4 linked regions of the Caenorhabditis elegans genome follow. The protein of the gene in region 4 purifies or fractionates together with the protein of the main gene of each other region. This does not show direct contact. Each region holds a gene or a part of one and is shown on either strand. Other genes may lie near its edges.

Region 1 (6,773 bases), on a different chromosome or scaffold from region 4:
GCTTGTCATCATCATCGTGGCCCTCATCTCGTCCTCAGATTCTGATGAATGAGCGAATTATCTATGGTTGTCGTCGTCGTGTACCACACTAACAAGCATCAGTGCCCAACAGTATACTGTCTGTGAGTGAATGTGTGGCGGCAGTGGCGCCCGATTGCGAACGATAATTATTATGTAACCGATTGTGGCGACGATGGGGATGTCGGTAGTATTGTGACTGGTAAGTAGGAAAATAAGAGACTAAATTGGACCGATCAAAACGAAACTACCACATCGAAAATGACTAGGAACACTGCGATGCGATGAAATTGGCATGGTGGTTGAGGTAAACCAATCCTAAATAAGGATGATCAGAAGGGGCGATGGAAAGGATTATGAACCGATTTTTTTGTGTGTCTTGGAAACAATGGACAGATTTGCTTCGAATTCTAGATTTCCTTGAACAATGTAGTATTCAGAAGTTGTTTTATTTTTCATTTTCTAACGTTAGATTTTAAAAAAATTGAAACCTTGAAAACTACTCACACACTGAAATTGTCTAAAAACGGAGCTCACTGTGGAAATAGAAGAATACGATTCATGATCTTTCTGCGTCTTATTTCTCCCAAGATGTGTGCCAATATTCCCAAAACAAGCTCTTTTGTCAACTTTGGCGCGTTAAAAAACCCACCCTGAACCAAAGATAGTCCCAAAATACATAAATACATCGTGTCTCTGAAGGTGATAAGATAATTATGAAAAGAAGAAGAACTAAACGGCAAAAAATATGAAAAATAATTTTTGTACCATTTAGTGGAACGATGCAAAACTGGTTGCAAAAAATAATTGAAGAAGAGGGAATAGAGAGCGTGGAGAAGAAGAAACGCAGACGGATAAGAGGACGTAAACGACCTGGGTATAGTGAGGGAAATAGGCGGGTGCGCATATCTCGAGGGGGTTAGGAGAGGTAGTTAAATTATCACTGTTGACAGGTCTCGCTACAAAAACCAGATAAAGTACTTTAACTGATCAGTGTATAGAGGAGCATGTAAGAGAGCTTGACTAAAAATCTTATCTTTGAAAAATTTCAGAATTCTCTCAATGCGCTCATGAATTTTGTTCTTGTAGGGTGATAGGAAATTTATAAAAAACTAATAAACACATTTAAACATGAAATTGCAGTTTCAAGGTGCGAAAAACCTATTCTATTTAGCATCAAACAAAAAAAGAAGAAAAAATCGATATTGCCTCAAAACCGTACCCGAAGTTTAAAGGAACATTCTACTTTACTTATTTCGCGGCGAGACCCATGAAGGAAAATCGTGTCATGTCTCTTTAACCGGTGAGTACGATTTGAGGCAAAATATATTTTTTAAACATCGTAATATGCTGTTTGGACTTGTACCTGCCGAAAAAACACTGGAAAACACAGAAATCACTCATAATTCACAGAGAAACTACTACTTTCATATCAAGTGGTGTTCTGGGAGTATATTTAGCTGATATCTCCCCAGTTTTGCTTCTCTTGACTCGATCTTTTCCTTTCTCAACACGAGACATTTTCAAGTAGCTTCTCGGTTTTTCCCTTTTTCTACCGTCTCTAACTGCTTGCGAAGGGGGGCGCGCAAACACTAAGGGGAAAAGCCTACACTTCAACCGACACCCGTTTCTCTGAATCTCTTAAATTGTATAAAATCTCTCTATCCAGCCTGTCAACATGATATTTTTGTTTGATATATGGTATTAGAATATTTAGATTAGGATATGTTATCAAAAGGCGTCTATTGAGATCTTGAAAAAATATTTATAATACATTGAAAATCATTTGATCTGACCCAATCGGAGAATTTGAGTATCATTTTTTCTTACAATGCTCACTCAAAAATCACAAGAATTTAAATACAAATTGATAGATGAACTCGAAACGCTAAATTCTTTCATTGGCGCCCTACAAAAATAGCGTAAGTATGACAAGTGAAGCAATTTGTTAAAGCGAAGAAGAACTTTACCGTAAAACCGGGTCTATACTTTCTTCTCCTACAATATGCAAAATTCCCGCTTCCCGCCGATTAATGATCTGCAACGTTTTTACCATATTTAAGCCTGACAACTGATGGCCGAATCGAATCTTCCACAGCAACTAAAACTTCAAGTGGAAAAGGAGAATAGATATGAAAAGTACTTCAAGCCGGCCAAAGGAACATCCGAACAGCGAAAAGAAAACCAAAAAATGAAGGAGTGTTCGAAGATATACAGATGAAAAGAAAAGAGAGCAAATAAACGTTTCGCAATACTCTTTGTAATGCACAAAATACAGTATAATTATTACAAAACAGTATTTAAACAATAATTATTTATAAATTAACAAAATGAACAAATTATAATTGAATCATCACTTTTTATCATTGTCACCGGTACCGAAACACTGTGTTCGTGTGACACACTCCATGAACGACATCAACTCCTTACCGCAAGCTCCCTACAATACATATTATTTATTTATTTTCGAGAACTCTAGAGCTAAATAATTGTTACCTGCTCTATTTCACCATCACTATTGGTCTTTTGGCACGTAATCGCTTCCCGAAACTCGAATCCACAAGGGCTTCCAACAAGATGACCGACACAGTGACATTCAAAATTGATTTGGCCATCAGCAGTTGTTGGTCCGGGGTTATTGCTTGGATAGACTTCATTAGGGTCCGTGTTAGCTAGTTGTATAAGATAATCGTCTTTAATATCTTCCCAGTACTCATCGACGCTCATTCTCACAACTTCATCTTTTGTTGAAGCCATTTCGAGATTATCACCTTTTCTGAAAGCAATTAATGTTTTTGAAGATAAATTAACCAGAAATCAAATATATTAATTTACGGACAAGAAGTGTTATGTATTTAATCAAATAATCTTTGAAAGAAAACAAATTCTAACAGTAAGTTTATTGTCCACGAGGACTACGTACGAGAGCGCTAAACAACTTGCACTACGAAACTCCGATTTTTTATAAAATTTCGCAATTTCTTTTATTTTTCTAATTTTCGTGGTTTTTTCTTTTTAAAATAGTGCTTTTAATTTTATTTTGTAAATTTTCAGAACTCGAAAAATGTCGTCGTTCGACAAAAATGACGAGCGAGCTCAGCTGATGGTGCCAAAATCAATAAACGAGGGAAAAGTAGTGAAATTGTCACAGAAAACCCTAGTTACTAAGAAAATTGAGCGCCAAGTTGTTCCCGAGGAGAAGTACATTGCTGGACTTGATAAAATTATAGAAAAAGATTATTTTCCACATCTCAAGAAAATGCAGGTAAAATAATCATTATTTATAAATATTTACTGTTTTAATGAGTTCTATTTTCAGGCACAGAAAGAGTATTTGGAGGCTGTTGCAAATAAGGACATTAATAAAATAAAAGAACTTCAAATGAAGTTCTGCAGTACTGGAAGTGTGCGGACCGATAGAAGCTTCAGAACCCCAATAACAACTCGTTCGACAACTGAGGCTCCTGATGTTTCATCTTTCGATGCAGATACACCGGGCCCTTCATCTGCTTCAACTTCGAGTGCACATGATTGGATGCAATCTCCAATGCCTTTTGCTAATGAGGAAGGAGATAATGAGGTTAGATTTATGATTTTCAATCCATTACTATCTTTCGCAGAGTTTCAGGCGTTAAATCGGAAACGAAAAAAGAAGAAAGAAGAGACTTTAACGTCATATCTCAACAAATACACATCAGAAGACAATGCTTCCTTCGAGGAATTGGCGAAAGTTATGAGGGAACGAGAAGATGCACGTCGTCCTTGGGTTTATAAAGCCGAGGAAGAGCATAACAAAAACCTTGTAAGATATTCTTTCACGAATAAAATCTGATATCGTCGAATTCGTAACTTAATCTAATTTCAGGTGACTCGACAAGCAATTGCTGCTGAAGCTGACGTGCAGTTGGCTTTAAAACATGCTGTAGATGCTGATGACAATAGACCTCTGAATGTAGACAATTGGGCATACAAAGCATGGAACACTGTACTCTTCAATCCGGATGGGGCAGCTCTGACACCTGCAGAGATTGCAGATGCAGCTAGAAAACAGCAAACTGAAATAAATAAACGTGGCACTAGGTTTCCAGACTCCGGAAAATTGAAGCCTAGCGACGAAGCTATGACTCGAGCAGCAGTGAGCCATGCTCTCGCGAATGCCGGAAAAGTTGATTTTTTGGGAAATGAAGTAACTCCAGCCAACTCATTCAAATTACTCGAAACACCGAATCCAAATCCTGACGACATGGATTCTCCTCTTATGACTTGGGGAGAAATTGATGGAACACCATTCCGACTTGATGCGCCTGACGTTACAGAGCATTCGTTGCCTGGTGCGGCGCCTGTATTCAAGATACCAGAGGTTCCGTATCGGGAGAAAATTGCACAATCTATGAATGATTCAATCGCGGCCAAATATAGAGACAAGAGAAAAGTTGCGATGAGAGCAGCTGAAGGAGCTCAGTGAGTTTTCATTTTTCAATTAAAAATTGTTTATTTTTTCAAGTTATAAAATATATTTCTCTATGGTATTAAAATCTATAACGAGATAATAGTACTTCAAATAATTTTCAACTTGGTAAAGTTTCAGCCGAACACCTGGATTTGGATCCAAGCGAGTCTCAGACAAGCTTGCACAATTATCTCCTGCTGCTCAAAAGTTGGCAACCAAGAAGCTTGGATTAAAAATGTTACCTGCTCACAAATCTCCTTTCGCCTCGCCGAAAATCATGTCGAATTGGTCAAGACCGTCAAGTTCAAAGCGATCCACAACTCCTGGTTCTGCATGGAGTCGTGGTTCTACTACACCTGGATCATCTTGGAGCCAAGGAGCACAAACTCCTGGCACACCTGGGATTGAATCTATGATCCGAAGAAAAGGGGATAACGTCGGACCTTCAACATCAGCCGGAGCTGCAGATAGAGCAAATGCTGGAGACTTTTTCTAATATTATAAGATTAGTATAATTTAGATCTGTATATTTTGTTCTCATGTGCCTTATAGACACGGTTTATTATTTATGACAATGGCCTAATAATTGATAGTAAATTCATTTATTATAATTTTTAATTTTTAAATTTCAGCACCATATAACATTTTAGAAGATTGAAAAACAAATGGAGAAAAGGCATTCAGAAGGTGAACAGAACCCGTTTGTGGGATTTTCAGAAAGTTGAAAAAATAACTGCAGAAGCCTGAAGCATAATTGAAGCATTTAGGGGAAATGTGTGAGCAAGAGCAGGTCATGGAGAGATAGAAAATGTGCGTGGGTTTGGAAATATTAAGAAAGTCGGTGCAATCCGGTAGGAAGTTTATGTGGTTGAACATAATTTGCAGGTAGCATTCCCCATTGAAGAGTTCGTTGAACTGTTCCTGTCATCCATCCATCATCAATTTTCTCGCAGTTCACGATGATATCACCTTCGAGGAATGAAATCTGGAATCAAATATTTTAGATGGTTGAATAAATTTTCATCGTGAAACTGGTTGAAAACCTAATTTAAATTTACCTCGTCTTTATCAGCAGCAGCGTAATCATAAATTGCCTTAACTGCAAATCCAGCTTTTCCAGTCGGTGAAATTGTGCTTTGTGGAGAAGAAAGTGTTGAATGTGGAGATGTTGAAGATATACTATTTGATGATGGAGGTGGAGCTCCTGCAAAATCCGCACAAAATCTTGCCGGACCTTTATCCACTTGAGCCTCTGCAACAAGCGGTTAGTTTCAATTAATGACAGATCAAAATTATTCAAAATGAGCTTTTTAAAAGATTATTTCTTCCACAAAACGAATTAATAAGTACCAAAACGTGCAAAAAATTTGTGTGGATTACAAATGAGCAAATCATTCAAACAAAAGCCAAAAAAAAAAACAAAATCCTTACTCAAATATCCAAGTTTCTCGGAATTTCTCGGTTGAGCAGCAGCTGTACCCCATTGTCCGTTCATTGGATCATAGTCAGCAATACTTCCGATTGATTTTTGTGGTGTTGGAGATACTGAAAGCGAAGAAAAATAACAATGCACAACACAAAAGCTTTTAGAAAATTACACATGAAGCACAACGAAAAATTTGGACTTTATATAACTAGATACCATAAATTAGACAAGGCTTAGGCTTGGCGTCAGTGGGGGAGCGTTAGCTCCCCCACTGACGCGCGATAAAAGTGGCTATTTAGGCTGAAGCCGCGCCATACCGCCGGTGTGTCATAAGGATTTCCAATATTTTATTCCAGTTGGGCATCCTAGTATGTTTTTCGGCCCTTTAGGCTTAAGTGTGTCATAAGGATTTCCAATATTTTATTCCAGTTGGGCATCCTAGTTTTTTTTCGGGCCCTTAGGCTTAAGTGTGTCATAAGGATTTCCTATATTTTATTCCAGTTGGGCACCCTAAGTCTAAATAGCTCTTTTTCTTTTCTTTTGCGCTCCAAGCGCAAGGAAAAACCTTATTGTAACTTTTTAAGAGGTTAGGCTTAGGCTTAGGCTTAGACTTAGGCTAGGCTTAGACTGAGACCTAGCATTATCTTAATTTTTGGTCAAATAATGTATCCGTACAAAAATCAGCAACAAAATCAGCAATAACTTTTATAGGCATTCAATCAGTTTTTCAATACACAAGGTGCTCTTTTTGGATGCTCATTAATCAATTCAATTGCTAACTAACCTGCTCCACCTTGCTCTGTTGAGTAGATCAAATGCGTATTTGCGGCTACTGCTTGTGTTGGAGCCGAATATGATTGATGGTTCATTGGAGAGATT
Region 2 (8,690 bases), on a different chromosome or scaffold from region 4:
CCAGATTTTTCGACGATTTTATATCAGCCTTAAAATTTGTCCATTTTGGTTCACAAGGTGTTACTGAAATTAATGATATTATGCCATAACTTAATGGAAAACATGAGAAAAAAACCAGTTTGAAAATTAGTTTTGCACCCTCTATTAGTTTTGCATCAAATTAGGCGTCCGAAAATTAGTTTTGCACGCCTTACTAATAGAGGATAGGCAATCTATCCCATGCTCACATTTCCCATGCACACATTTCCCATGCTGACACTTTCTCCCGTGCATACAAAATTCCCATGCTTACGCCCAGTAGTTCGAGTACTCCCATGCCTACAATTAATTTTTCTCCTTTTTTTCCGTTCCCATGCTGACATTCCCATACATACATTTTCTCCCGTGCATACAAAATATTCTGATGCTTACATCCAGTAGTCGAAGTACTCCTATGCCTACAACTCATTTTTCCCTTTTTTTTCGTTCCCATGCCGACATTCCCATACATACATTTGTTCCCATACTTACAAAAATGTATTCCCATGCCGACATGGAACAGTTTTGTGCTCCAGAAGAGCACAAAGTCAATTTTTTTGCTCATTTTCATTGTATTAGGCTTACTTGACAGCTTTCAGTTACAACTGATCGCTTTTTTTTTCAAAATGCATTAGTTCTCGATTATGAACAAGGAATCGAAGAAAAATGGGGATGACTGCCTATAGAGTAAAATTTTTTTTTGCTCAAAAAAAATTTTTTTTTTTGAAAATTTTTTTTCTCTCTATTTTGTAGGATATAATTAATTCGGTGAATTCCACAACTTCAAATGTTCATATTGCTGTTTCCGTGCAGTTATGAGTTTCGCAGTGCCTTAGGAACATTTCATTTTTTGTTGTATTTTGTAGGAATTCGGAGCTATCTTATAATTTCTACAAATTAGAAAATCCATTTCGCATTATTTCATGTAACTTGAACCTATTGCTTCAAAAATAGCACAGAACGAATGTTGATTCTGTTTCTTTCATTAAAAAATGTGCTACTGTGCATTTTTTCCCACTTCTACGACTTTAAAGGCGCGCGCATTTATACAAAATGGTCCCGTCATTGGTCTCGCCAGCGCTCAACAAATCAATGGGATGCGCGTGGCGAGATTATTGCGCGAAAATTCGCGCGCCTTTAAAGTCGTAGAAGTGGGAAAAAATGCACAGTAGCACATTTTTTAATGAAAGAAACAGAATCAACATTCGTTCTGTGCTATTTTTGAAGCAATAGGTTCAAGTTACATGAAATAGTACGAAATGGATTTTCTAATTTGTAGAAATTATAAGATAGCTCCGATTTCCTACAAAATGCAACAAAAAATGGAATGTTCCTAAGACACTGCGAAACTCATAACTGCACGGAAACAGCAATATGAACATTTGAAGTTGTGGAATTCACCGAATTAATTATATCCTACAAAATAGAGAGAAAAAAATTTTTCAAAAAAAAAATTTTACTCTATAGGCAGTCATCCCCATTTTTCTTCGATTCCTTGTTCATAATCGAGAACTAATGCATTTTGAAAAAAAAGCGATCAGTTGTAACTGAAAGCTGTCAAGTAAGCCTATTACAATGAAAATGAGCAAAAAAATTGACTTTGTGCTCTTCTGGAGCACAAAACTGTTCCATGTCGGCATGGGAATACATTTTTGTAAGTATGGGAACAAATGTATGTATGGGAATGTCAGCATAGGAACGAAAAAAAATGGAAAAAATGAGGTGTATGCATAGGAGTACTTCGACTACTGGATGTAAGCATGGGAATTTTGTATGCACCGGAAAAAATGTATGTATGAGAATGTCAGCATGGGAACGGAAAAAAGGGAAAAAATGAGTTGTAGGCATGGGAGTACTCGAACTACTGGGCGTAAGCATGGGAATATTTTGTATGCACGGGAGAAAATGTCAGCATGGGAAATGTGTGCATGGGAAATGTGAGCATGGGATAGATTGCCTAGAGGATATACGGTAATAATAAATTGTAATAAAAAAATGGGGGAGCAAAATGTTAGCAACCTAGCAATATCCTTACCCATAACCGATAACCACCCCAATTGTGCATTCTGGACCATATTTGTGTGCGGCAGCAGCCAACTGTCCTACTGTGTCGTTCATCACTGCTTTGATGCTCACTTTTGTGGACTGAAATCGAGTGTTTTTTGTTATTAAACTGTGTTATTACGGGAACTCAAAATTCTCTGAGAATGCGTATTGCACAACATATTTGACGCGCAAAATATCAAACTACAGTAGAATTCTTTAAATGACTACTGTAGCGCTGTTGTGTGTCGATTTACGGGCTTCCTTTGATTTAAATATTCTATCGATAAATAGGTGATTTCACTTTAAAAATGGAGCCCATAAATCGACAAAAGCGTGTTGTGGCACCCGGAGGCGGCGACCGAGCCTTTAAGCCGTAACGAAGAGTGACTCGAGACCGAAGAAAGATTATGTATAGTCTGGAAGGAGCCCTCTGGCAGTGCGGATGAATGCGGTGGTCTTGCTCTCGAGGAGACTTGAATATAGAGCTAGTGACAGAACAAATGTATAAATATATTAATTTATATAGTAATTATAAGAATTACAATAAAAGAGGGAGAGAGGATAAAGTAGGGGGAAGGCCTGGAAACTCCTTGGTTATTGGAGTTTGTCGGGTTCTCCTTGGATATCGGAGCAAGTACATGAATAATAGTGAGGGGCAATTACAAAGGAAAATGGGGGATGCGTCGGGAGAGAAGTGCCACGCACGACCGTTCGGCACGAGCGCAGCATCAAGACTGAAGTGGTGGCGTCCAAAGGCTGCGTATCCTGCCGTCGCTTGAGTCGCCGCGCAGCTAATGTCGGCTCCCCATTCCACAACAAAGCGCTACAGTAGTCATTTAAAGAGCTACTGTAGTTTTCGCTACGAGATAGATATTTTGCGCGTCAAATATGCTGTGCAATACGCATTTTTAAAACTTTTTATTACCGTAAGAAAAATTGCCAAATTTTAAAGCTATTTTTCGTAGAATCGAAAATTTTACGGTTTCCGATTTTAGTGATCACAAAAGGACAAATTTTCAAATTTTTTGATAGTTTTTCAAGAAAAAATCGAATTTTTACCATATTCATCTCGAGAGCCTCTTCCAATAGAGCTACAATATCCCGTTGCAAACAATCCTTAATATCGAACCCTTTAGTCCACCACAAAAGACGTGCCGAACGAATTGACAATAGTTCACATGGATATGAGAATACGAACCCTGAAAAGACATATTTTAATATTTTTTCCAGGAAAATCGGAATTTTCGGTGAAAAAGTTCGTACCAATAGGTAAATTAGCATCAACTAGTCCGAATTCTTGTAGGAATCGTTGGAGGCAATTGACGATGAATGTGAAAAGCTGAAAGTTGAGAAATTTCGCCAATTTTTGCCCGTTTTAGTCGGGGTTTTGAATTGAAACTTTGAAAATTTGGTGTCAGGTTGTTGTCCCATAAGCTCCAAACGGCGGGAAATGTTTTTTTGAAAATTTGTGACGTCACAGATTTTTCAAATTTTCGATATTTGATGATTGATTTGTTTTCTTGCCAAAAAAATTTCAGAAAATTTGAATTTCCCACCAAATGTTTTTTTTCCAGAAAATTTGAAATTCTTGCTAAAAAAAAATTTCAGAAATTTTGAATTTCTGCCAAAAAAATTTATTTTCAGAACTTTTGAATCCAAAATCTTTTTTTTTCAGTAATTCACTGCAACTTTTTCCTCACGAGGGACGAGGAAAAGTGGTTTCTAGGCCATGGCCGAGGGGCCGACAAGTTTCAGCGGCCATTTATCTTGCTTTGTTTTCCGCCTGTTTTCTTTCGCTTTTCATCGATTTTTTCGTTTTTTCTTAATAAAACTGATAAATAAATATTTTTTGCAGATGCTAAAACAATTTCCAAGTGAAAAAATTATGTATTCCAGTGGGCAAGCAGCGGTGAAAGTGGGCATTGTAATATGATGGATTACGGGAATACAAAACCTAAACTTTTTCTGAAACATGATTCATATGATGCTTAGATGCTGAAGATACCTGATTTTCATATCGAGACCGCTGAAAAAGTTTTGAGGTTTTCAAAATTCAACTTTTTGTGCGAAAATCTCGACTTTTTCACCGAAAAAGTTGAATTTTGAAAATCTCAAAACTTTTTCAGCGGTCTTGATATGAAAATCAGGTAATTTCAGCATCTAAGCATCATATGTATCATGTTTCAGAAAAAGTTTAGGTTTTGTATTCCCGTAATCCATCATATTACATTGACCACTTTCACCGCTGCTTGCCCACTGAATACATAATTTTTTAACTTGGAAATTGTTTTAGCATCTGCAAAAAATATTTATTTATCAGTTTTAATAAGAAAAAACGGGAAAAAGCTGTGAAAAACAAAAGAAAACAGGCGAAAAACAAAGCAAGATAAATGGCCGCTGAAACTTGTCGGCCCCTCGGCCATGGCCTAGAAACCACTTTTCCTCGTCCCTCGTGAGGAAAAAGTTGCAGTGTTTTTAGCTGTTTTTTCGGAAATTTTCAAATTTTTCGCACAAATTTTGCTTACCTGATCACCGGTTCCCTTCATAACATGATTAGCTACTATATAATTGACTGTTTCATGCGTGGGCGTCGTTCCGGCTCCGTTCATTGTGAGTAACATTATTCGAAGATTCTTTCCCGACAAATCGATTGCCACGTATTTTCCGGTTTCTGGAATTTTTTGTATGTTTTTGATTTTTCCTTTAAAAATTAAGTTTTCTGAATTTTAGTTTTTTAATTTGTTAAATTTTATAGTATTTTTCAGATTTTTTTTTGACATTTTTAGGAAATTCTTTAAAAATTGAGATTTTAGGCAAATTTTCATGAAAATAATGATTTTTTTCGGAATTACTAAGTAAAATTATTGCATTAACAAATGTTTAGCGATTTTTTTCGCGATTTTCTGTAAAATTTGTCAAACTTCAGTGAATTTTTTAAACTTGCACTAACTTTGTAAGTCTTAACTTAATTTTTCGACTTTTTTCCTGATTTTCAAGGAATTTAATATATTTTTATAATTTTTTACGCAATTTTTTGAATTTTTTTTTCGATTTTCAGCTTTTTTCAATAAAAATCAAAAATAAACAAAATTTCTGAAATTTCACATTTAAATCAATTTTTTTTAGAGTTTTTAATCCACTTCGTAGATTTTTCTATAAAATTACAATTAAAATTAGTTTTTTTTTTCAATTTTACCTATTTTCCATGAAAATTCGTAAAACTTTTGAATCTTCAAAGCAAAATTTGAATTTCTTTGTCGTTTTTAGTAAATTTTCACGATTTTTAATTAATTAAACTAATTAAATTCCAATGGTTTTTTTCTCGATTTTCAGAAATGTTTGATTAATTTTATCAGTTTTGTTTTTTGGGATTTTTCGAAATTGGCTAAAATCGACGATTTTTTATGTTTTTTTTTTAGATTTTTTCATTAAATTTCCATTTTTCTGCATTTTTACCTGTTCCATCTGGCAACGCTGGTACATAACTCGGCAACATTGCAATCGATGAGCCTTGAGTCTTTGCGAGACCCATTTTCATTTGTTGCTCCACTTTTTCGCTGATTTCTTGAAGTTGTTCACGGTTTAAACGGAATTTCGCGAGGATTTCCTCGACTTCTGGTGGTAGAACCTTCATTTTTGTGGAGATTACTGTAAAATTTTGGGATTTAGGAAGGTTTTTTTGAATTTTTTGAGGAAAAATAGGGGGTTTTCTAAGAAAAATTTAATTTCAAAAACCGATTTACAGAGAAAATTGGCAATTTTTTTAGAAAGTTTAAGAAAAATTGACTTTTTTGGAAAAAAAAATTCCGGAAAATTGAATTTTTCGTGATTTTTCAGGATTTCTTGTGGAAAAAAAATATGAGAATTCGTGAAAATTAGGTTTTTTTCTGGAATTTTCGGGGAAAAATAGGATTTTTTTGAAACTTTTCTTTGAAAAAAAAAGTTGTTTTCTACATTATCAGTATTTGTTTTAATGAAAAATAGGTAGTTTTAACAATTTTCAGACAAAAATTTACTATTTTTGTAGAAAGAAAAAATCGAAATTTTTGGTAAAAATGTGCCGGAAAAACTGAATTTCGTCGATTTTTGGAGTTTTTTTTCTGGAATTTTCGAAAAAAAAATTGAATTCTCGTCAGTTTTGTATTTTTCTTTGGAACACTATGCATTTTATTGCATTTTTCAGTGATTTTTCGGTAAAAATAGGGTTTTTTTTCCAAAAAAAAACTTTTATAACCATTTTTAGACAAAAATTGATAATTTTTTAAAGAAACTTTTTTAAAATTTGGCTTCTGTGGAAAAAAAGTGCCGGAATATTGGATTTTTCAGGATTTCCTCGAAATAGTAAGTTTTTTCTGAAATTTTCAAAAAAAAATCGAATATATTTGTTATTTTTGTATTTTTCTTGGGAAAACTGTGTGTTTTATTAGTAATTTTTCGGTAAAAATGCGTAAAATGTCAAGCGAAAACGACGAAAAATTAAAATTTGAATTTCTCGAAATTTTCTGAGAAAAATACGTTTTTTTTCTAGAAATTTCGGGAAAACATTAATTTTTTTTTGAGTTTTTGCAGAAAAATGGTAAAAAATTGCAAAAATTCTACAAAATAGCGAATTTTCACGATTTTCTGTGGAAAAAATTGTTTTCTGAGATTTCCGAAGCTTCTGTTTAAAAAAAAATAATTTTCGTGAAAATATTGATATTTTTGAGTTTTTGCAAAAAAATCGTTAAAAAATTATAAAAATAGCGTGTTTTCAAGATTTCCGGTGCGAAAAAACAATTTTTTAAAAAGAAAAACGTTCAAAATTTGAAAAATGCCTATTTTTCACTGCAACTTTTTCCTCACGAGGGACGAGGAAAAGTGGTTTCTAGGCCATGGCCGAGGGGCCGACAAGTTTCAGCGGCCATTTATCTTGCTTTGTTTTCCGCCTGTTTTCTTTCGTTTTTCATCGATTTTTTTCGTTTTTTCTTAATAAAACTGATAAATAAATATTTTTTGCAGATGCTAAAACAATTTCCATGTAAAAAAATTATGTATTCAGTGGGCAAGCAGCGATGAAAGTGGTCAATGTAAAATAATGGATTACGGGAATACAAAACCTAAACTTTTTCTGAAACATGATACATATGATGCTTAGATGCTGAAATTACCTGATTTTCATAACGAGACCGCTGAAAAAGTTTTGAGGTTTCCACAATTCAACTTTTTTGGTAAAAAAGTCGAGATTTTCGCACAAAAAATTGAATTTTGAAAACCTCAAAACTTTTTCAGCGGTCTCGTTATGAAAATCAGGTAATTTCAGCATTTAAGCAGCATATGTATCATGTTTCAGAAAAAGTTTAGGTTTTGTATTCCCGTAATCCATCATATTGCATTGCCCACTTTCACCGCTACTTGCCGACTGAATACACAATTTTTTAACTTGGAAATTGTTTTAGCATCTGCAAAAAATATTTATTTATCAGTTTTAATAAGAAAAAAACGGGAAAAATCTGTGAAAAAATAAAAGAAAACAGGCGGAAAACAAAGCAAGATAAATGACCGCTGAAACTTGTCGGCCCCTACCACTATTCCTCGTCCCTCGTGAGGAAAAAGTTGCAGTGTTTTTCGGTTAAAAACCTCGAATTTCCGAGATTTGTCGATTTTCTTCGGAAAAACTATGTACTTTAACAAATTTACAGGGATTTTTTTGGAAAATTTCTGGAATTTTCCAACTTTCTCGCAAAAAATTTAAAATTATCGATTTTTTGATAATTTATCTATCAAATCAAGTGGCAGAAAGGAGAAAAACAATAAAAAGGGCAGTCCGCACGTGCAGAATTGAAGAGAAAGAGGACCTCAGCCAGGGTGAGAGAGTGTAGAGGGTGTGGAGACGCAGACACTGAAAGAAGGGGGTTCAGAGATGTGGAGAGTGCAGAGATGTTGGTGTGATGAAGACTTGGCAGTGTGCCAAATGATATTTTTTATGGAATATGATGCAATTGTGCTCTGTTGATAATTTTTGGGGTGGCAGGATTCTTTTGGGGGAAATTATTGATTTTTTTTTTCTTTAAATTTGATTTTTCTATAAAAAAAATTGGATTTTCTATAAGAATTTAGATAAATAATAGTTTTCTTATATTTGCTTTAATGATTTTTCGGCACAAATAACAGATTTTTTCAAAAAAAAATTTTTTTTTACTTTTTGGGGATTTTTATCGGAAATTTGAAAAAAACTGAAACTTACGATTTTGATGCTTCTTGAAACTATTATTTTTCGAAACTTTTTTCAAAAAAATTCTGGAAATTATTGATTTTTGTCCTAAAAATTTTTAAAACCCCGAAATTCTATCGAAAAATAATTCAACATTTTTAGATTTTGCGTGAAAACTCTGTTAGAATATCGACTTTTCTGTCAATTTTCAATTTTTTTCCGCAAAAACTGCCAGAATTTCCTCAAATAGTTCATTTTCGATTGAATTTCCAAATTAATCCGAAAAATCGATAATTTTTTGATTTTTAACTGGATTTTTCGATAGAAACGTTAACTTTGCTGACTTTCTAAAATTTTTACAAAAAAAAACATTTTAAAAAACGTTGGAAAACACATAAAATTCGAGTTTTTCGGCTGGAAATTGGGGAAAACACAA
Region 3 (8,535 bases), on a different chromosome or scaffold from region 4:
TTTGAAACATGTGAATAGCTGTAATAAAGGGTAAAAAAAATACCCCGTCACAAAAAAAACAATGATAAGAGTTACTCTTGTATGTAGTATTGCTTGTTTTTTACCTTAAAAAAAGTTAAACTTATATAATTTTTTTATTAACATGACTTAGATGTAAAACTTTAAAAAAATCAGTAGAACATTATTCGAAGACGATTTTTTGAGCATAAAAAGTTGCGCATTGGATTATTTAATCTACGACGATTATTTGGCTGAAACCTGGTTTATTGATTAAAAGTTACAAGCAAACATAAATTTACTCAAATTATCAAGTTTTTAAACATTATGATGATACATCTAGAAAATTATACCGTCCCCGCGGATTTCAAACACTTTGAGCTCATCCAACATTGTAAGAAAAACAAATTAAAGTGTTTCCAAAAAGTTATCCATTTCAGGAACTCGGATAATTCTCGAGGATGAAATTGGGGGTGAGGACGACGGAAGCTCTTACAAGTGTTGTAGAGGAGATGTGCACGTTAAAGTAAGTATGTTGTTCAAAGAATACTTGTGTTAACTGAAATATTTTCAGCGTGCTTGTTTCTACGTGTCGATTTCGGCACTTGTAGTATGTTTATTTTCTACAATATGCATGTTTTTCGGTGTTTACACTGTCAACTTATGGCTAGATATTTTTCTGATTGTTGCGAATACGGTATGTTTTCGAATTTTTATTTATGAATTTTTAACTTAATTTATGACAATTATATTGCAACCACTATTTTTAAATTGCAATTTTTTTGAGTGCAATAAATATAAGTTCACCAGTATGTATTTTCTCTTTTCAAACAACAAATTGTTTTCAATATTCGATTTTTGCAGGTTGTGGCCATTCTCATGATGTTTGGTCTTTATTATGACAAGGCTTCATTACTTGTACCATTTATAGTTTCTGAAGTGAGTTTTCTCTGCGATTTCTTGACATTTCTGAAGACTAATTGCTGTTTTTAAGATAACGCAATGCGTCTGTTTCTTCATTCTTGCCAATTATGTTCTCTACTATACAATTGTGTTTCGAAGGCAGAAATTTTATCAAAAATTTGGTATGATTTCAGAATTTTTTTTGGAAATATTGGGAATGAGGATTAACTGAAAAGTCGGATTGTTATTTAAAAATGAAATTCATAGCCCATGTTTCTAAATAATTTCGAATGACAAGATGAAGTATTGAATTGGAATTTAACGACAGCTTATTTAATAATAACAGTCAAAACAATGAAAAATCAGCATAAAATAGATGTTAAAAAAAACCAAAATGAACCCGTTGAAACCGGAAAATAAAAATCAGGTTCCTCCCAGTTATTGATTTTGCATCGAGTTTCTTTTCTTCTCCGGTTTTTTTTCGTGATTTTTGAAATTTGAAAGGTCGTTCATAGAAATTTGCTTTAAATAGCATAAAACGGGTGGTAATGGTCACTTTAAAAATTTTTTCAATTGATTCGATTTTCTCAAGTTAGCAGAGTTATTGTTTCCAGCTTTTTACAAGCTTAACTGATTTATCTACTGTAACGTCTTAAATAAAACGATTCAAAATTAAAATAATTTTTTTAATTGTTGTACAGTTTTATAGTTATTAACATTTGTGCAATTTTTATGAGTTTTATTCAAATTGTTTCAGCAAAACATATGAAATGGCTTATTAGCCTACGCTACTTTGAGTTTTTCCGTTTTTTTTTTGTTGCGAATTGAACTGGTTTTTTCTCGGTGATTAGTTTTTGTATTATCCTAAATTACATTTTTTCAAACTGTGAAAGGCCATTTAATTTTGTTGGAAAATGGAGTACTGCATCATTCATCTGAATTTTTGCAAAATTGAAAAAAAAATAATAAAAGAATTGTTCGGAGTTGTATGTATAACATCGTATCCAACTGAATCTCTTTGCCACATATTCCCGCAATCTCATTTACATTTCAGATCAAATGTTAATGGTGATATCAATATATTTGGGAATCGTAATTTGTATAGGCGCCATATGGGCTGCCACCAAATGCTATCACTACCTTCGGCAAAAAGCCGAAGGTATCTATCCGGACAGTGGTGAAAGATGTATGTGGGAGTGAACACCAACCTCGTCATGATGATACTCGTCTTGTTTTTTGGACCAATGAAATATTTTATTATTTTTTTTCCAACTTTTATGTTTGTTGTAGCATAAAATATTCGTACGAGAATATATATTATGCATACAGTCCTGGGAAAAAAATTGCGTTCAACCAAGCACTCGTGAGCTTGTAGGGAACTTTTGTTACTGGAAACAAAAACATTCATGAGAAATGCCGTATTTGTTCAATATTTCTTTCTATTAGCGTGTTTTTTTTTCATATTGTTGCGTTGAACACGATCAGAAAAATGTTTTTAGCTATAATAATTTATTGAAAAGAATCAAAGTTATTCCAGTGACTCAAATGTTTGAAATGATAAAATGAGAAAAAAATCAATACACTTCAAAATTTAGTTGTTGGTAAATACTTTGTTGTGAACATCAGTGCAAAAACTGTTACACATCTGCTGGCATGCCACGTAGTTTTTCTCTCCTGTGGTTCCAAGAGTCACAGTTTTTGTGTTTGATGAGCCGCTGCTTACATGGAACACCTATAATAAAGAAACAGTTTTTTTTTAACTTTTCAAAATGTTAAATAACATAAAATAAGCTATAATGACGGAATAGAAAACTTAAAAAAATTAACAAAATTTTTTCTTTTTTTTTAAATTTTTAATTACTTTTAAATTTTGCAATTAGAATTTTGAAAAGTTCTTTACCTCAAAAAAAAATAAATCAAAAATATTCAACAAACTAGAGTGTTCAAAAAAGTAAATGTTATCATATTAAAATGTTTATCTCTTACGTTTGGTAAAATGTTATCCCATTGTGTTTTGAAATCACATTAGAATTGTTTTGTATAAAAATATTTATGTGACAAACAAAATATGTACAATATTTTAATAATAATTGCAATACTTAGCCAGTTTCTGTGACAAGTTTCGAACAAAGACATTGTTAATATTAATGTTTTACAACGTATACGCTGCTTTTATACTGGGTAGTTATCAAAGATCATAAATAACCGTAATTTTTTAATAAATTTTTTGAAAAACTCGAAGCACCTCAATAGGCTTCTTTCAATTCCCTTTATATTCATAGAAAAAATTATTTTCAAAAATTTTGCCCAAATATATTGAACTTGGTTAAGTAGCATTCAAGAAAAAAACCAAACTTCGCCAACTTTATGGCTAGATTTATTTTGCCGAAATTAAGCGCCAAATACCGAGATATTTTGTCAAAAATCCCTTCCTTTTTTCTCAAAAAAAAACTATCACTTCTCTTTTGATAAAAGTTTCACAGTTTACTGATAAGGTTTATCTGTATTTATCTGTCGGTTACCAGCTCTACACACAAAAGAACATTTCCCTACAATTACCATAAAATTAAATAGCACCTTTTGTCGACGCAACTCATAAATTTTACCCTTGATGGCTGCCGCCATTGTCTCACTTTTTGATGACTTAGACTACGGTAATTTTATATCTTTTTGCTCAGTGGCTGTCATTCCTAGATCTAAGCCCATTCTAAGATAATTTACAAGTTTTTATCCTATATTTTTCGTTTACCTCGCATGTATACTGTCCTGCGTCTTGTTCTGGTTGATAATTTTGAATTTCCAGAATAGACCCTCTACTGTAGAACTTGTGCTTACCACCTGAAAACACCTTGTTTCAACTAACAAATTTCCTCAAGACAAACCTTCCAGGATTTGCTTCCCGTGACGAGTCCAGTAAGTTATGACACTGTCTTTCTTGGCGGATACCTCACATGAAATATTAACCGAAGCAGTCGCTAGAACTTGACCAAAGTGAAGTTGTTTGTCTCGGAAGACAATGTCCTCTGCAAAAAGTGTATTATTTTTTCAAAATCTCGACAAACATTGAGACCTACCAAAAACGATTACATCCATCTTGTTCATGTATACTTTACTTCCAACCTGAGCTTGACAATAGTACACACCACTGTCCTCCACACTGGAATTTCTGATAATAAGTCCGAGAGTGTAGTCGTCTAGTTTTTTGACCTCGACGTTTCCAGTTCTAAAACATTAGCTGGGTTATATTTAATAGGAAAATAGGGATCTTGAAATACCGGTCTAGTCCACCATGTTTCTTCCAGATCATTCCTGGTTTTTCTCCATTACTATCAGTCTTCTTAATAGAGCACACAAGAGAAATCTGGTGACCAATTGGTTTTTGAACTGGGTTTGCATTTGGGCTAATGGAAATGGTTATTTCTTCTTCTGAAATGTTCATTCTTATGAATAATAACACTTTTTAAATTTCTTTTCAACAAACCTGCAAACGAATAAGAGACTAGGAAAACTAGTGGTAAAAGTAAAAGACATAATTTAGTCATCCTGTTTTCAAGGAAGAATTTCAAGGAGACAACCTAGTCCAAATGATAGTAGCCACCGCTACTAGAGACTGTTGTGAAGGCTTCGTCAGGTGTCAGTAAGATTCATTCTTGTAAAATACTCGAGGCTTGGGTTACCACCACTGCCCTCCTCATCTCGCTCGCTATTTTTTCAGATTAAAAGAACGCCGAAGGCTATTAAACAGGCTGGAGTCTTTTGAAAAACGTGATGTAGGTGATTGAGGGAGACTATTAACTCTGGATAATTGTTCTGATGTTTTTAATGAGAAAGCTCAGTGATTTGTGCACTTCATGATAGTCTGGAAAAAGGACAATTTTATTGAAAATAAATCATCAAACATCATGAATTAAATGTGAGAAACTTTTAAATTTGCAGTTATTGCAAGGTACTTATTCCAATACAACTTGATATGATTGACAACTGTAAATGAAATACATTTCAGAATATTTACAACAATATATAAAATTTTAATACCGAAGGCAAGAAGTGCGAAAAAGTTAATATTTCTCAATAGTTTTTAATATTGCGAAAAATAGTTATTTCATAATTTATTTTCGATTATTCAACTTTAAATACGCCTGCCGATTAAACAAACTAATAAAATATAAATATGTTGAACAATAATTTAAGAAACAGTGACAGTGTGATGTTCTTATTAATTTTTTAACATATACATTATTATTGCATTATATATGTAGGATTAATTCTCATTCAGATCAGCACGTGAACCATTATGTCAATACTATTTTAACTAAGATTTAGAAATTATTTTTTTAAGCCTAACAAAATTCAAATACAAAAACAATCACATGTAATTTCAAAAAAATTGAAAAACTTTTGGTACAAAAATAATTTGAGCTCTTTTCGTTATTCCCAATTAGATTTTTCGTATTTTCTCTTCAAAAAAATATCTCGGTTGCGATCAAAAGTTTTTTTCAAGTAGCTAGGTAACATAAAATTGTAAAAAATAGTTTAATTTGCAGTTATTGAAATTTTGATCCATCAGCTGAATGCTAAAGGCGAAACAAGCGTGCAATGTTGAACACTGAAAAATTCTAGTGCGCAAGCATCATGGAGTAGTAACTTTTTACTGGTTGATACTAAAAAGATTTTGTTCAATTCCAAATTGTTCAGTTTAAATCGGTTATTGAAGTCTTCTTTTTGACAATTTTTCTCCCAGTTTTAAGACATCAAAAAAAATGTTTTGTATTACATTTTCAAATTTAAGTTGAGTTGAATTTTTACAAGAATGGAGCCAAAAAGTAAAGTTTCTAGCAGATTTCTTACTACCAGTCTGGAATTTGTTCAAATTGAAAGCTATTTGAAAGTTTTTTAATACTCACTAATTAAAATGTTATCACAAGAAAAAATAAGCTGAAAAAATCAACTTTAAAACTTATCGTACACTATGTCGTGAACAAGTGCTGTAAAAATTATTTTAATTGGAGAGATTGTGGACAGTTTAATCTACCATTCTAGCGCGGGCCAGTGCGCCCAAAAAGCGACACTGATTGGCACAAAACAGCACTGAGCTGCACAAGTCTAATGCCCAATTGGCCTGATAGCGTATTTATTTTTGATTTTGCCCAAGAAGCCCACTGGGAGCACCATTAGGAAGTTAACTCCCAAATCCGCAGAGCTTAATGCTTAAAAACGATCATCCTTTTAAACTTTTTTTTAGTCATTGGATCTTCAAAATTTTTATTTCAACGTAATCAGTAACAATTAACTTTTTTTACTTTCAGAAACCCTATACAAATGCATATTAGTATATAATTTTCCACACGATAATGCATTTCATATAACGTCATTTTTCACATTTTTTCAGGTTCTTAAAAAGCCTTTCAAATTTGATTTTAAAAACGAGCAAACTTTCAAATTACATGTTTTTATATTTGCTGATAAGAATATATAAAGGTCGAACTTTCTGGAGGAAACAAAAAAATATTTGAAGTTTTGTGGTCCTTTAAATATTTTTCACACTTCCGAGATAGAGCCTCTCTGCAATTATCATTTTTAGAAATGCATGTCAATTATTTTCAATCATGACAGACTAAAAAATGACTGGAAATGGTGAAACAAATTTTAAAACATTATTATAACGGTCTTTCGGACTTAAATTAAAAATTATAATCTTAAATTAATTTAAAAAAAACGTAGGCATCAGTTGAAAATCTCAGTCACTTACAATTTATACATATGTTTATGTATCAACTAAAGTTTTGATAAATACAATCAGAAAAACGGAAGCTACAGTTTCTTATAAGAATTTTGAAGTTACAACTATAATGCTTCAAGCATTTTGTCACTTTTTCTTTCTTCAATTCATCACTTCTTCAATTTCTTCAAGTTCCCATAAAGCTTTTATGAACTCTTCGTAGATTGGTAGAAATGAGTGGGCTTATAAAGAATGCTCCGGGAGGTCACACTCCTCCGAACCTGCAATAAATTTTACGGTTATCGAGTGTTGTCCCGTCGTGTAGAAAACAATCTTGCAAATGCAGAACGTTTCTCATGATGTTTTCCAACTCGTATCTGTTCTTGAACCCAGCGATCCCTGTTCAGAAAATCTGACAAGTTTACAACGAAGTTGTTCTTGTGGTAACGGAAAAAGCAATCTTTAGCCACCGACGTTGCATTAGAGCTTTTCACGTAAGCTACCTCTTCTCGACTCTTGTTCTTAACACTGGCTGAAAGGTTTTTTACACACATTCATCATGACGGCTAAAGGACGTCCACGAAAGAACAACTGACGACCGTCCGCATTCATTAATAAATGTCGTGCCATCGTCGATGTTTACTACACAAGACTTTCATCGAGCCCAAGTTGACACACAAAACGACTCTAAGGTGTCACTTTGGTAATGCCGACACTTCTGGCTTCTTAATTTCTACAATTCCTATGGCACAACTATTCAAACTAATTTTCAAAATTGTACTCGGTGCAAGTTCGTACACTTTTTCGTCTGCAGTGATGATCAACTAATAGACGATCATCTCATTCGTCAGGTATTTGAGATGCGAGATAGAGAGATTGGCAAATGAGATTTGATTTCGAATCATTGCAAAAATTCTCTTTCCCTCTCCCTCCCTCTAAATTGTTTTTTGTTACAGCAGACAGGTATCAAAAGCGTTCATTTTTCTTATCCACCTGTGATTTTGTTAATATTACTTCAATATGCCTAAAGTTGCTAAATTTTATTTGGTTCGTTGATTTCAACGTTTAATGAGTTTTCTAAATCATAGCTGCACATGCTAAAAAGCAAAAAATCGAATAGAGAGCGGAACACATCTGCTTTTGAGCAGCCTTTTCATTTCTCTCATTTTTGTTTTGCACTTGCAAATACTACATGCAGGTAGTTCTAAACTTTTAACTGGGTTGTTATGTATGTATGCATTTTTTTTCAAGTCAATCTGATTTTCATTTTTTGTCAAAAATTCTCTTCAGTATTTTTGTTCATTCGACATCAAAATGTGTAAAAATTTGAACTGTAAGAAAATTTAATTATAATAATGATTAAAAAAAAAGAAATTTTAATTATAATAATGATTAAAGTTACAAAATTTGTTTAAAGCAAATTCAGCTGTATTTGTCGTTTTGATACTATCGATTTGAAAAAGTTAGGTAAATTTAGTAAATGTTTGTCAGTAAACCTGAAAATTATCATTCTTATTTTTATTATGCGCTAAAACAAAAAATTGCATTATTTTATAAAATTTTTTGATAATCTGAACATCGTTTAAAATGACATAATTTTTTCTAGAATATTTATTTTCATATTCACTCTCTAACTTTAAAAAAAAGTTTCGTTAGAAAATTGATTCAAATTAACATGAAATTCAATAACAAAATTTTGAATCTACTGTTGTTCTAACTATAAAGTGGGGTTCGGCCAGCGGGGAAATCATTTTAAACTTGTCATATGATGCTTAAATGACCAAATGTCATTCTTAAAATGTTAAAAAAATTTTCGGAAGATTTGTATATTGAGTCCATAAGGGGCGCAAACTGAGTTTTTGTCGCGTTTCAAAAAATCTAGAACTCATTTTCGAACCCCTACAATGTTAAAATGT
Region 4 (8,954 bases):
CTCCTCTACTCAATCCGATGAAATTCTTCACCAAAATGACAATAAAAGTTTAGCTCAACTTAGAACAAAATCTTCTAATCAATAACGATAGAAAAGGGTTTTGATGGAAAGTGACAGAAAAATTTGAAAACATGAAATTTTAATGAAATTGCAAGTCTATAAAAAATGAATGCTACACTAGTCCTTAAAGGTGCGTGAATGCGGATTTGCAGTAAAATACCCAGATTAGTCAGAAGTATTTTAGATTTTTTATTTTTTCTCCGTTTTCTTTTGGGTATTTAACCGAAAAATTCTCATACTCCTGGTTCAAATGCGCATTCTGTTTTTGCATCCTTCTCCAAAAAATCTAAATCGTGTTGAGACCGGGCACCGTATTCTTGGGTAATAAAATCACAAAATTTCGATATATGGAAATTTGTTTCAAAATTTGGGTTTTCTTTAGGCTTTTTTTTCTCAAAAATCTCATTTTTGGATACCGAACCAAATTTCTCAATCAAGCATAAATGAAGTTTACTACATTGATAACATGTGAAGAACGTTTTGAACAATAAAATGGTTGAAAATTTCTAAACTGCTGAGCAGGAAAACATAGAGCATCGATTTTTTAAAGAAAAAGAACTTCTGCAAAACGCTTGTGCGATATAGAGATCAAAATAATTTCGAGCATCCTAAGTGCATCTAAATTGAAATTCCAAGAGGATTACGGTATTCACTTGAGGAAGCAATGTGTCAGTCTACTTGCTAAAATTGTCCGGAAATGTCAAGAACCTTTTCTCAAAATGAATCCTTTTTTCGTCTTTTATCTCTCGTTCTTCCCATATACTCTATTTGACACACAAAACGAGTTGTGTTTAATTAAAATGGAAAAGTGGGCGGTACATTTTGAAGAGAAAAAGAAGACACCCAATATCCCCTCTCTCCGTTTATATTGCCTTTTGAAACACATGTCAACACTGGAAAAGAAGATGAAGAGAGAGAGGAAAAAAGATTTTATTTCACGGTTAAAGGATTTGTTAGGAGAAGCTGGAAACATGATGGGACATAACATAACGATTTCAATGCAATTGGGTTTTCATTCGATTCAAACAGAACACTGAGGCTATGGGTAAACTACAAAAATTCAAGGTGACCTAGTGGGATATCGGACTTACTTAATCACACTCAATAGGTCATATTTGCCACAGTATAAGGAAAACGCGAAAGAATCTTATGTTCGTAATTAAGAAATTCCAAGTTACAGTAAGGAATTGAACATTTAGATACAACATGGCTGCAACTATTTAACGGGGGTGAGTTCCCATCGATGAAAAACGGAAAAACTGTTCAATCTAAATTCTGATTCAGTCTAGCCATAGCTAAGAAAAAAACATTTCGCACTCTCTGGACCAGTAATAAGTAAATACTTTGTGATAACGATAAAAAGTTAATTACGAGATCAAGTCGCAAGAATAGTATTTAAACTTATTCAACAAACTTTAGAAAAATCAATGTGTCAAAAAACGGAAGAAACAAAAAAGTGTTCCGGTTAGTGTAAAGTGCCAGTTAGAGAAAATATATGACTCATCCACGTGTCACTACTACAGTAAAAGTCCTCATATTACAACATGACCTTTTTCAAAATGTTTTGTGAAAGAGAGAGAACCACCGGTCAAGGACCATTGTTACGAGATTTAGAAGATGGTTTTGTATTCCGAATTTTTAATATTTTGAAAAACAAAAATTTACAATACAACTTTTTCTTTTAACATCGGAAACTACAGAAAACAGAGGAAACGGAATAAACGACAAAAATAAATAAATTTTCAAGAAAATGAGAAGAGAATGTCGTTAGAACCAGATGTTTGTATGTGTGAGGGTCGAGTGTAAATGTGAATGATAGTACAAGTTGGGGTCAACTAAATGTAGGTTTTTTTTTAAATTTGTTGCACGCGCGGTAACCGAAAATTTTTCGTGCATTTATTGAGACGCTACTACTACAGTAATCCAAATTTATTCCAATATTTTGTTAAATATTTAAACTCACGAACTAATAACTGCCCAACTCGGTGGTTTTTGCAGCATATCTTTAAGTACCAAATTACTTGAAAAATTGTATACTTTACTTTATTTTTTAAAACTGGAACAAGTAAATGAATTTATTCCATAAATCAAAATTAAACAGAATTCCAAATGTTGAATATTGCATTCTCGTAGTTTTGTGCTCCAACAGCTCCTGTCGCTTGAATTCGAACAGTGCCGGTTATTTCCTCAGATTTTCGAGTTTTAATCAAATGATTCAAATAGACTGCAACAGACCCAACAACAAGATTATATAAGGATATCATCTGAAATTGTTTTGTTTATGTTTGAACATTGATTGGAAATAAATATTATATCATTTAAATGTGGAGTAGTTCCTGTAGATATTATGTCTAAACATGTAAACACAGGAATAATAACCCAAAATGACTGAATTTCTTAACAAAACACTCGAAAAACTTCATATATGTGTTAAAGGTGGTGTAGCACTAGTGGAGAAATTGCTTTAAAACATGCCTATGGTACCACAATGACCGAATATCATGATAAAAAAATAAAACAAAATTTTCTAAATTCTATATGGTTTTTTGAAAATTGAAAAAATCTCAGTTTTTGCCTAATTCCAATTTGAATTACCGCCAATTGGATTTGTTCGATGGAGCGCGCTTGCACGTTTTTAAATTTATTAATTTTATTTTTTGTTATTTTCCACCGATTTTTAATGTTTTCGGTGTATTTTTGCTCGAATTTTAGAGAAAAAGTCAAGATAAATGCAAATTTTCGATTAAAAAGCACGCTTACAGGCGTAAAAATGACAAAGTAACGATTTTAAACGATTTCGAACCTGAATTAATTAATTTCACTGATTTACGCCTGCAAGCGTGCTTTTTAATCGAAAATTTGCATTTATCTTGACTTTTTCTCTAAAATTCAAGCAAAAATACACCGAAAACATTAAAAATTGGTGGAAAATAACAATAAATAAAATAAATAAATTTAAAAACGTGCAAGCGCGCTCCATCGAACAAATCCAATTGGCGGTAATTCAAATAGGAATTAGGCAAAAAATGAGATTTTTTCAATTTTCAAAAATCTTTTTTTTTTTTTTTTCTGAATTTTTTAATCATGATATTCGGTCATTGTGGTACCATAGGCGTGTTTTAAAGCAATTTCCCCACTGGCGCTACTCCACCTTTTATTCCAAGTTTTGGTAAAATGCCAAATTTATGAGAAGCTTGAACTTTTCGGAAAAAATTAGAGAAGTTTTTATATTTGAACTCCGACTATGTTTAAATTTACATATTTAGAATAATTTAGTTTAAGAAACCCCTTTTTCTCTGAACTTCTTATTTATTACAATTTCGTAATCAGTTCTTCACTCTTATAGATCCCTACTTACTGTAGTAAAAGCTCCTCTTGTTGCCATCAAATCAGCTGGATCCGGAATAAAAATACTTCCAAAATATCTAAGAATCATGATTCCAATCACATAAAATCCAAATAATATTACATGACAAAATACTACAAAAACTGCAAATTTGGTAGAATGAACGACTTCTTCTCGTTGATATTTTGTTGCAAGGGAACTGGTTGAGACTTTTAATCGAATACTTTGTCGAAGGAGATATGAATTAAATGTAAAATTGATTAAATTCAGAAAGAACATAACCCAGAAGAATGTGAACATCTAAAAGTCTTTTATTAACTATCGTACTACTTGATCTAGAGACCTTTGGAGCAAGAGTTTTAGGAAAGAACACAAAGGAAATCGATCCATCATCAAACTTTTCGTCTCGATAAATAAAAAACACAATAAGCAAATCAAGAAGTATCTGAAAAAAGATTTATATTTCAGAATAAATAAAGTGTTCTTACATTACATCCAGTTAGTATTGGACCAAGTCGTACACGTGTCTTCTCATAAGTTCTTGCCATTTTCATTGCAATGAATCGTTCAATTGTAATAGAAATAGGAAAGAATGTGGAAAGAGACATGAAAATTGATACGGTAGTATTCCCGATTTTTAGATATTGATCAGGTATCAATAAATTACATGGATGTTTTGAGAATAGTGGAATTAAAATTTCAGTCGTCTGAAATAAATAGCTGTAATTTTAAAAATATAAATAACTTTTAATCTACATATATTTGAACTGTTGGTCTATCTGCAAATATTGCCGTAGCAAAAATGCCAGAAATAAATGATTGAAAATTAAGAAATGGTTTAATTTTTGCCAAATCAGGTAACCAGGCGGGAATTCCTTCATGCCCGTCTACCGCATAAATGTAGCTTTTTCGGAACTTCAGAATTTTTGCTTAAAAGTGAAGAATTGCCAGTTGAAAAACGTTCAAAATTATTTTATGGTGCTTAATAAACAGTTTACAAAACATTTTGAATGTCGGAAATTGTTGTAAGAAAATGATAATTACCAAACTTTTAAAGATCATAATTTTGGAAGTCAACCAAAAAATGATTTTAGTTTTATCATTTTTATCATAATTTAATTTTTGTATTTAAACATTTTTAGTTGAGCAAAAGTTTGGCACTTTACTTAAATTGGTTGGTACTTTTGAAATATCTAAAAATGTTGAAGTGCTTTTTATTATGTTATTAGGTCGGTCAATTATAATGCCCAACTAAATTCACTTTCAACAAGTTCATAAACAAAAAAACTTCAACGTTTGAGGAAACAAAAAAATCATTTTAATTTCTGATTCACTTACCGAGATAATGGCAAAATCCACAGAAAACAAGAAAACTGATACAAAATAGGCAGAGAATAAGAATTTAAGATTGCCATGGAAGCTTGTTTTTGGAAGCTTGAAAATGACAAAATAGATTAATGGAATTATTGATGAAATTGAAACAAATAAATGAATAAATAAAGAACCTCTATAAATTGGATGATACGTTAATTTGAACGCCTGAATTTGAAAATTAGTTCTTAAAAAGCAGCAAAGGACTAACCGTTTCACAAATTTCAGAAATTTCAGTCATTTTTCAAGTCATATGCTTCAAGAAAATAGAACGTGATAATGCTCTTTGGCTCAACTTCCTCGAATTGGTTAATAAATTATTTTAGGCAATAAAACCATAGAGACACGCATCGAGTGCATAGTTCAATAATTTGTTGCATGCAAAACCTTTTCCCGCTTTCTCAAATGTTCCCATAAAACTTAGAAAGTTGGCTGAAATTGCAGAAATCGCATGTATACTATATTGTAGGCGAAAGATCAGAAGAAATTCTCCAGGTGATCAGGAAGTAGGCTAAATTATTTTCTTTTTCTTCACAGATTCTCATTTGCAATTCAATAAATCACCATCTATTCCATTCCAAAACCTTTATTAATCTCCATTTCCATATGCGTATGGAACGAGGTAATATCCAAATAAGAAACAAAAGCATGGTCTTCTTTCGGGGGAAAACTATTCAGAAGAAGGCCGGGAGTAGTGTGAAAAAAAACATGAAAAAATACGTATTAGAAGTTCGAGAAATAGGGCATAAACATGGGTAAGAATATTGGAGAAAAGTGTGGTGATCGGGGGAGAGTATGAGTTGAATGCAACTAATTGAATAATTTGTTAAGAAAAATTGTGGTTTTTGGAAATGGAATGACTCTTCAAGTCAAAGAATTTTTGGTTGGGGAGAGGAGACCGATTGTTGAATTGCTCCAGAAGCTGTCAAATAGTCCGACTATCCAATTTTGACGATTTCTGAACAAATAGCGGAAGAGACAGATGGAGGACGGTTTTATGTGAAGGCTGAACGAGCGGCGAATTACAAACATCACGAAGGTGATACAAGACATCCCCGAATATCGTGAGTCCACGCCCTGATCAACTGAACTTCAAAATCAAACAGAAGTTGCATGCTTCTGGATAATTATGAAGAAGTAGAACGGACTATGACACGTGGCAACTTTCGTTCAGACCCAAGCAGTCCATCCTTCGTACATTTGAGATAAATTTGGTGTGGATGTAGCTTCAGCGATTAGGATGTCGGCCTGGAAATGGTGAAATGTGAAAATATAGAAAACTATAATATTAGCCACAAATATTTTCGAACCAAATTTTTTAAAGTACCTCTTCGCGAGGAGACAATTTCCTATCTGGTCCTGCCGATCCATCGAGCCATCCGTTGAGACGCCGTTCAACACGTCGGACAACTTCACGCGCTTGAGAATTCTCCTGTTGATCTTGTTTCACAACCCATACATCTGAAAAAAAAAAAGTTTTTAGAAGGCTGGTATGAGCCATATACTTTCAAGTCCGGGAGGTGGTTTGAATTCTTGCTGTGAAGTACGGGATGTAATAGTCTCAATCGGGGTGAATGACAGATTGACGAGTGCTCCAAACACACTGAAATTATATTATACATTGAATCTAATTGTTGAATTAGTTCGATTTCCAATTTTCAAAATCAAAAACTTACTTATCTATATTTTGCATGACAATGTTGAAATTGTACACACATGTATCAATATCGAGTTCGTTACGGAGAGCCGAGTGTCCTCTGAAAGTTTTTTTTTTAATATTGCAGTAATAAAAAATGTTATACTAACTAAAATCTAAAAAAAACCAACTAAATCTTAAAAAAATTCGCAATGTTACTTATTGCTTTTAGAAAACTAACTTCAAAAGTGGATCAAATAATGCCTGCTTGTAAAACTTCAAATAATCTGCAAACTCTTCTCGTTCCTTTCCAATTACTCTTATCAATGGACGAAGCTCTTTGGCAAGTGCATGATGACGTGTCACAGCCTCACGAAGTTCCGTTCCAGCTTTCACACGTTGCTGAAAATATAAAATAGGTTAACTTGGTTTTATCTTCAAATAGTTCATATGGCATATAATGAAAGAGACCCATACCTGAGCATATATGGCATTTGCTCCAAGCATCGAATTTTCAATCAAAAGACATTCGGTCACTTGTTTCATCCAGTGGAGAAGGTCATCACTGAAAAAAGACAAGTAAAACAAGATGTTATTTTCTATCAGAAAAATGTATTTTTTTCAAAAGAGCGAAAGTCTAACCGATTTGCAAGCCAAAGGGTTTGAACCTCAGACATTCTCAAATTGAGTAACTCCATCGCATCGGTCAATCTTTCTTTAGCTTTTGTCTTCCAATTACTTCCATAAACAGCCAATTGTAGTGCCAATGAGACACCAGAAGTTGCTGTATGTTCATGTGATGTCCAATCGACAAGCGGATCGAATACAAATGCATCGAGAAGCATTGTAAGAACTTGATGACCAGAACGAAGAGTTGAGAGCACGTGAACACAAGATTCACGGAAGGTACCATACATTTCAGATGGTCCGAGAGCGTGACGCATGTTACGTGTCAAACGGAATGGGACTGTTTCGGGGATACGCAGATTCTTTCCCTGAAAACAATATACTTGGAAGTTTATGTTTATCTTTAAATTTTAATTGTTTTAGGTTGAGAAATCACCAATTATCATTGTTTAAAAAGGTACATAGTCATTACCTTGTCAAAGCAAATGTTGTAGTCAATATGTACTACATGACCCCACTTCAAATCAACCAATAAATTGTCCAAATGTCGATCACCGAGTCCTAAAACTGATCCAACCATACTCATGACTGCCAGTGATCTTGAATATCGTTTTGTAACCGACCACCAAGTTGTTGCATCATTCGCACGCATCCAAAGCTCACGACTGATTAAATCTGTTGGTGTTTTTGCTGTGAGACTTTCAAATACTTCTTCCAAAATTTCTGCTGGCCATTTAGAACGATCCGAGGTGATGGAGGAATCGATTTTCTAAAAATTTTAAATAATTAAAACAGTTGAATTTTGGAAAATGCTAACATGATCTGCGAATGCTAGACGAATCATATTGTGATACATGTTGCTGGGTCTTTCGATTTCAGGAACTGTTTCTCCGTTCTTTTTGGTCGCTTGTTTGAGTGCTTTCTGAAAATATTCAATTGTTTATTCATTTATGTTTGTTGTAACTTTTTAGTCATCCCAGGAAAAATAATAAAAAATAAAATGCTCACCTCTTTCATCTGCCATTTACGATATATGTGGAACATTGGTGTAGCACCTTCAACCCATTTGATAAGTCCAGAACGTGGTCCAAGTGGAATAACAGCATAATGATGTGCCTGATACGCGGCAACCGATTGTCGATGTTTCCCTTTTCCTGGTTGAAGCATCACATTACATAATCGGAGGAATTGCATGACTCGTTCATCAAGATGAAGATCTTCGCGTCCTTTGAATAAAAATGCAACTCTGAACATTTTTTTTGATTAGTAGAAGATAGGAAAGTTTGATAGAAAATCGGAAAATTCTAAGTAAGTAGAAAATATCAAATTTTGAAAAAAAAACTAACTGTTTTCCATCAGATCCGACAAATCCCAGCTTTTTCGGGCGAGTTTTCGTGGGCAGAATTGTGACTTGTCGAGCAACACGAGATATCGAAACAACTCTATCAAACTCGACAGATTCTTGACCTGGCATTGGAACACACGAATTGGAAAGCTGAATATTCATATTTTTCAAGTGTTTTTGGAATAAAAATCTTACAGATGCGAGGTACGGAGAAATGTCTTCCGTTTCAAATGTTTGCATTCCTTTTTTGCTGTTTCGATGCACAAAATTGGCAATGAGCTGGAAGAAAATGAATTCGTTTCTAAAGTTTATTTTTAATTTAAATATATCTCACACTCTGAACTGAAAGTGAGCCAAATTTTAAAAAAACACACACACAACTTTAAAAGTTGCATTTTTCATTTTCTATCGATTTTTTGCCTTTCTTTTGCGGTATTTCGAAATTTAAGACTATTAAAGCAAAAACCTCATTCAAGCTTCTCCCAGTTTAAATAAAAACTTAGGAAACGAAAAAAACGTACATTTTTAAATGGAATCCATGACTTTTCCGGAGAAGTGGTACGTGATAT

The links.
Region 1: the proteins of srb-15 (region 4) and F42H10.2 fractionate together in Caenorhabditis elegans (co-fractionation; one large-scale study listed by BioGRID). This does not show direct contact.
Region 2: the proteins of srb-15 (region 4) and hxk-3 fractionate together in Caenorhabditis elegans (co-fractionation; one large-scale study listed by BioGRID). This does not show direct contact.
Region 3: the proteins of srb-15 (region 4) and zig-6 fractionate together in Caenorhabditis elegans (co-fractionation; one large-scale study listed by BioGRID). This does not show direct contact.

Annotation. Positions count from the first base shown.
Region 1 is NC_003281.10:8,486,647-8,493,419, reverse strand, and holds F42H10.2 (coiled-coil-helix-coiled-coil-helix domain-containing protein), read right to left. Parts: upstream 2,801-6,773; 5' UTR 2,776-2,800; coding exon 2,515-2,775; intron 2,459-2,514; coding exon 2,372-2,458; 3' UTR 2,316-2,371; downstream 1-2,315. Other genes in the region: Splicing factor ESS-2, read left to right, coding at 3,083-3,283, 3,338-3,598, 3,647-3,820, 3,884-4,479, 4,601-4,964; LIM and SH3 domain protein F42H10.3, read right to left, coding at 5,298-5,453, 5,527-5,720, 5,900-6,013, 6,679-6,773.
Region 2 is NC_003282.8:1,496,884-1,505,573, reverse strand, and holds the start of hxk-3 (Phosphotransferase), read right to left. Parts: upstream 5,713-8,690; 5' UTR 5,699-5,712; coding exon 5,521-5,698; intron 4,736-5,520; coding exon 4,590-4,735; intron 3,404-4,589; coding exon 3,328-3,403; intron 3,264-3,327; coding exon 3,124-3,263; intron 2,164-3,123; coding exon 2,054-2,163; intron 1-2,053.
Region 3 is NC_003284.9:5,184,524-5,193,058, forward strand, and holds zig-6 (Zwei Ig domain protein zig-6), read right to left. Parts: upstream 4,555-8,535; 5' UTR 4,443-4,554; coding exon 4,382-4,442; intron 4,327-4,381; coding exon 4,176-4,326; intron 4,124-4,175; coding exon 3,975-4,123; intron 3,924-3,974; coding exon 3,783-3,923; intron 3,739-3,782; coding exon 3,650-3,738; intron 2,633-3,649; coding exon 2,492-2,632; 3' UTR 2,393-2,491; downstream 1-2,392. Other genes in the region: T03G11.9 (MARVEL domain-containing protein), read left to right, coding at 438-523, 572-694, 862-936, 992-1,082, 1,955-2,100. UniProt on the Caenorhabditis elegans protein: Probably not involved in maintaining the position of ASI and ASH head neuron cell bodies and ventral nerve cord axons of PVQ, PVP, RMEV, AVK and HSN neurons.
Region 4 is NC_003279.8:6,895,602-6,904,555, forward strand, and holds srb-15 (Serpentine receptor class beta-15), read right to left. Parts: upstream 5,019-8,954; coding exon 4,989-5,018; intron 4,946-4,988; coding exon 4,745-4,945; intron 4,114-4,744; coding exon 3,895-4,113; intron 3,852-3,894; coding exon 3,750-3,851; intron 3,707-3,749; coding exon 3,419-3,706; intron 2,325-3,418; coding exon 2,154-2,324; 3' UTR 2,134-2,153; downstream 1-2,133. Other genes in the region: Serine/threonine-protein kinase smg-1, read right to left, coding at 5,948-6,025, 6,105-6,238, 6,283-6,380, 6,454-6,534, 6,655-6,815, 6,891-6,978, 7,056-7,408, 7,513-7,809 and 5 more.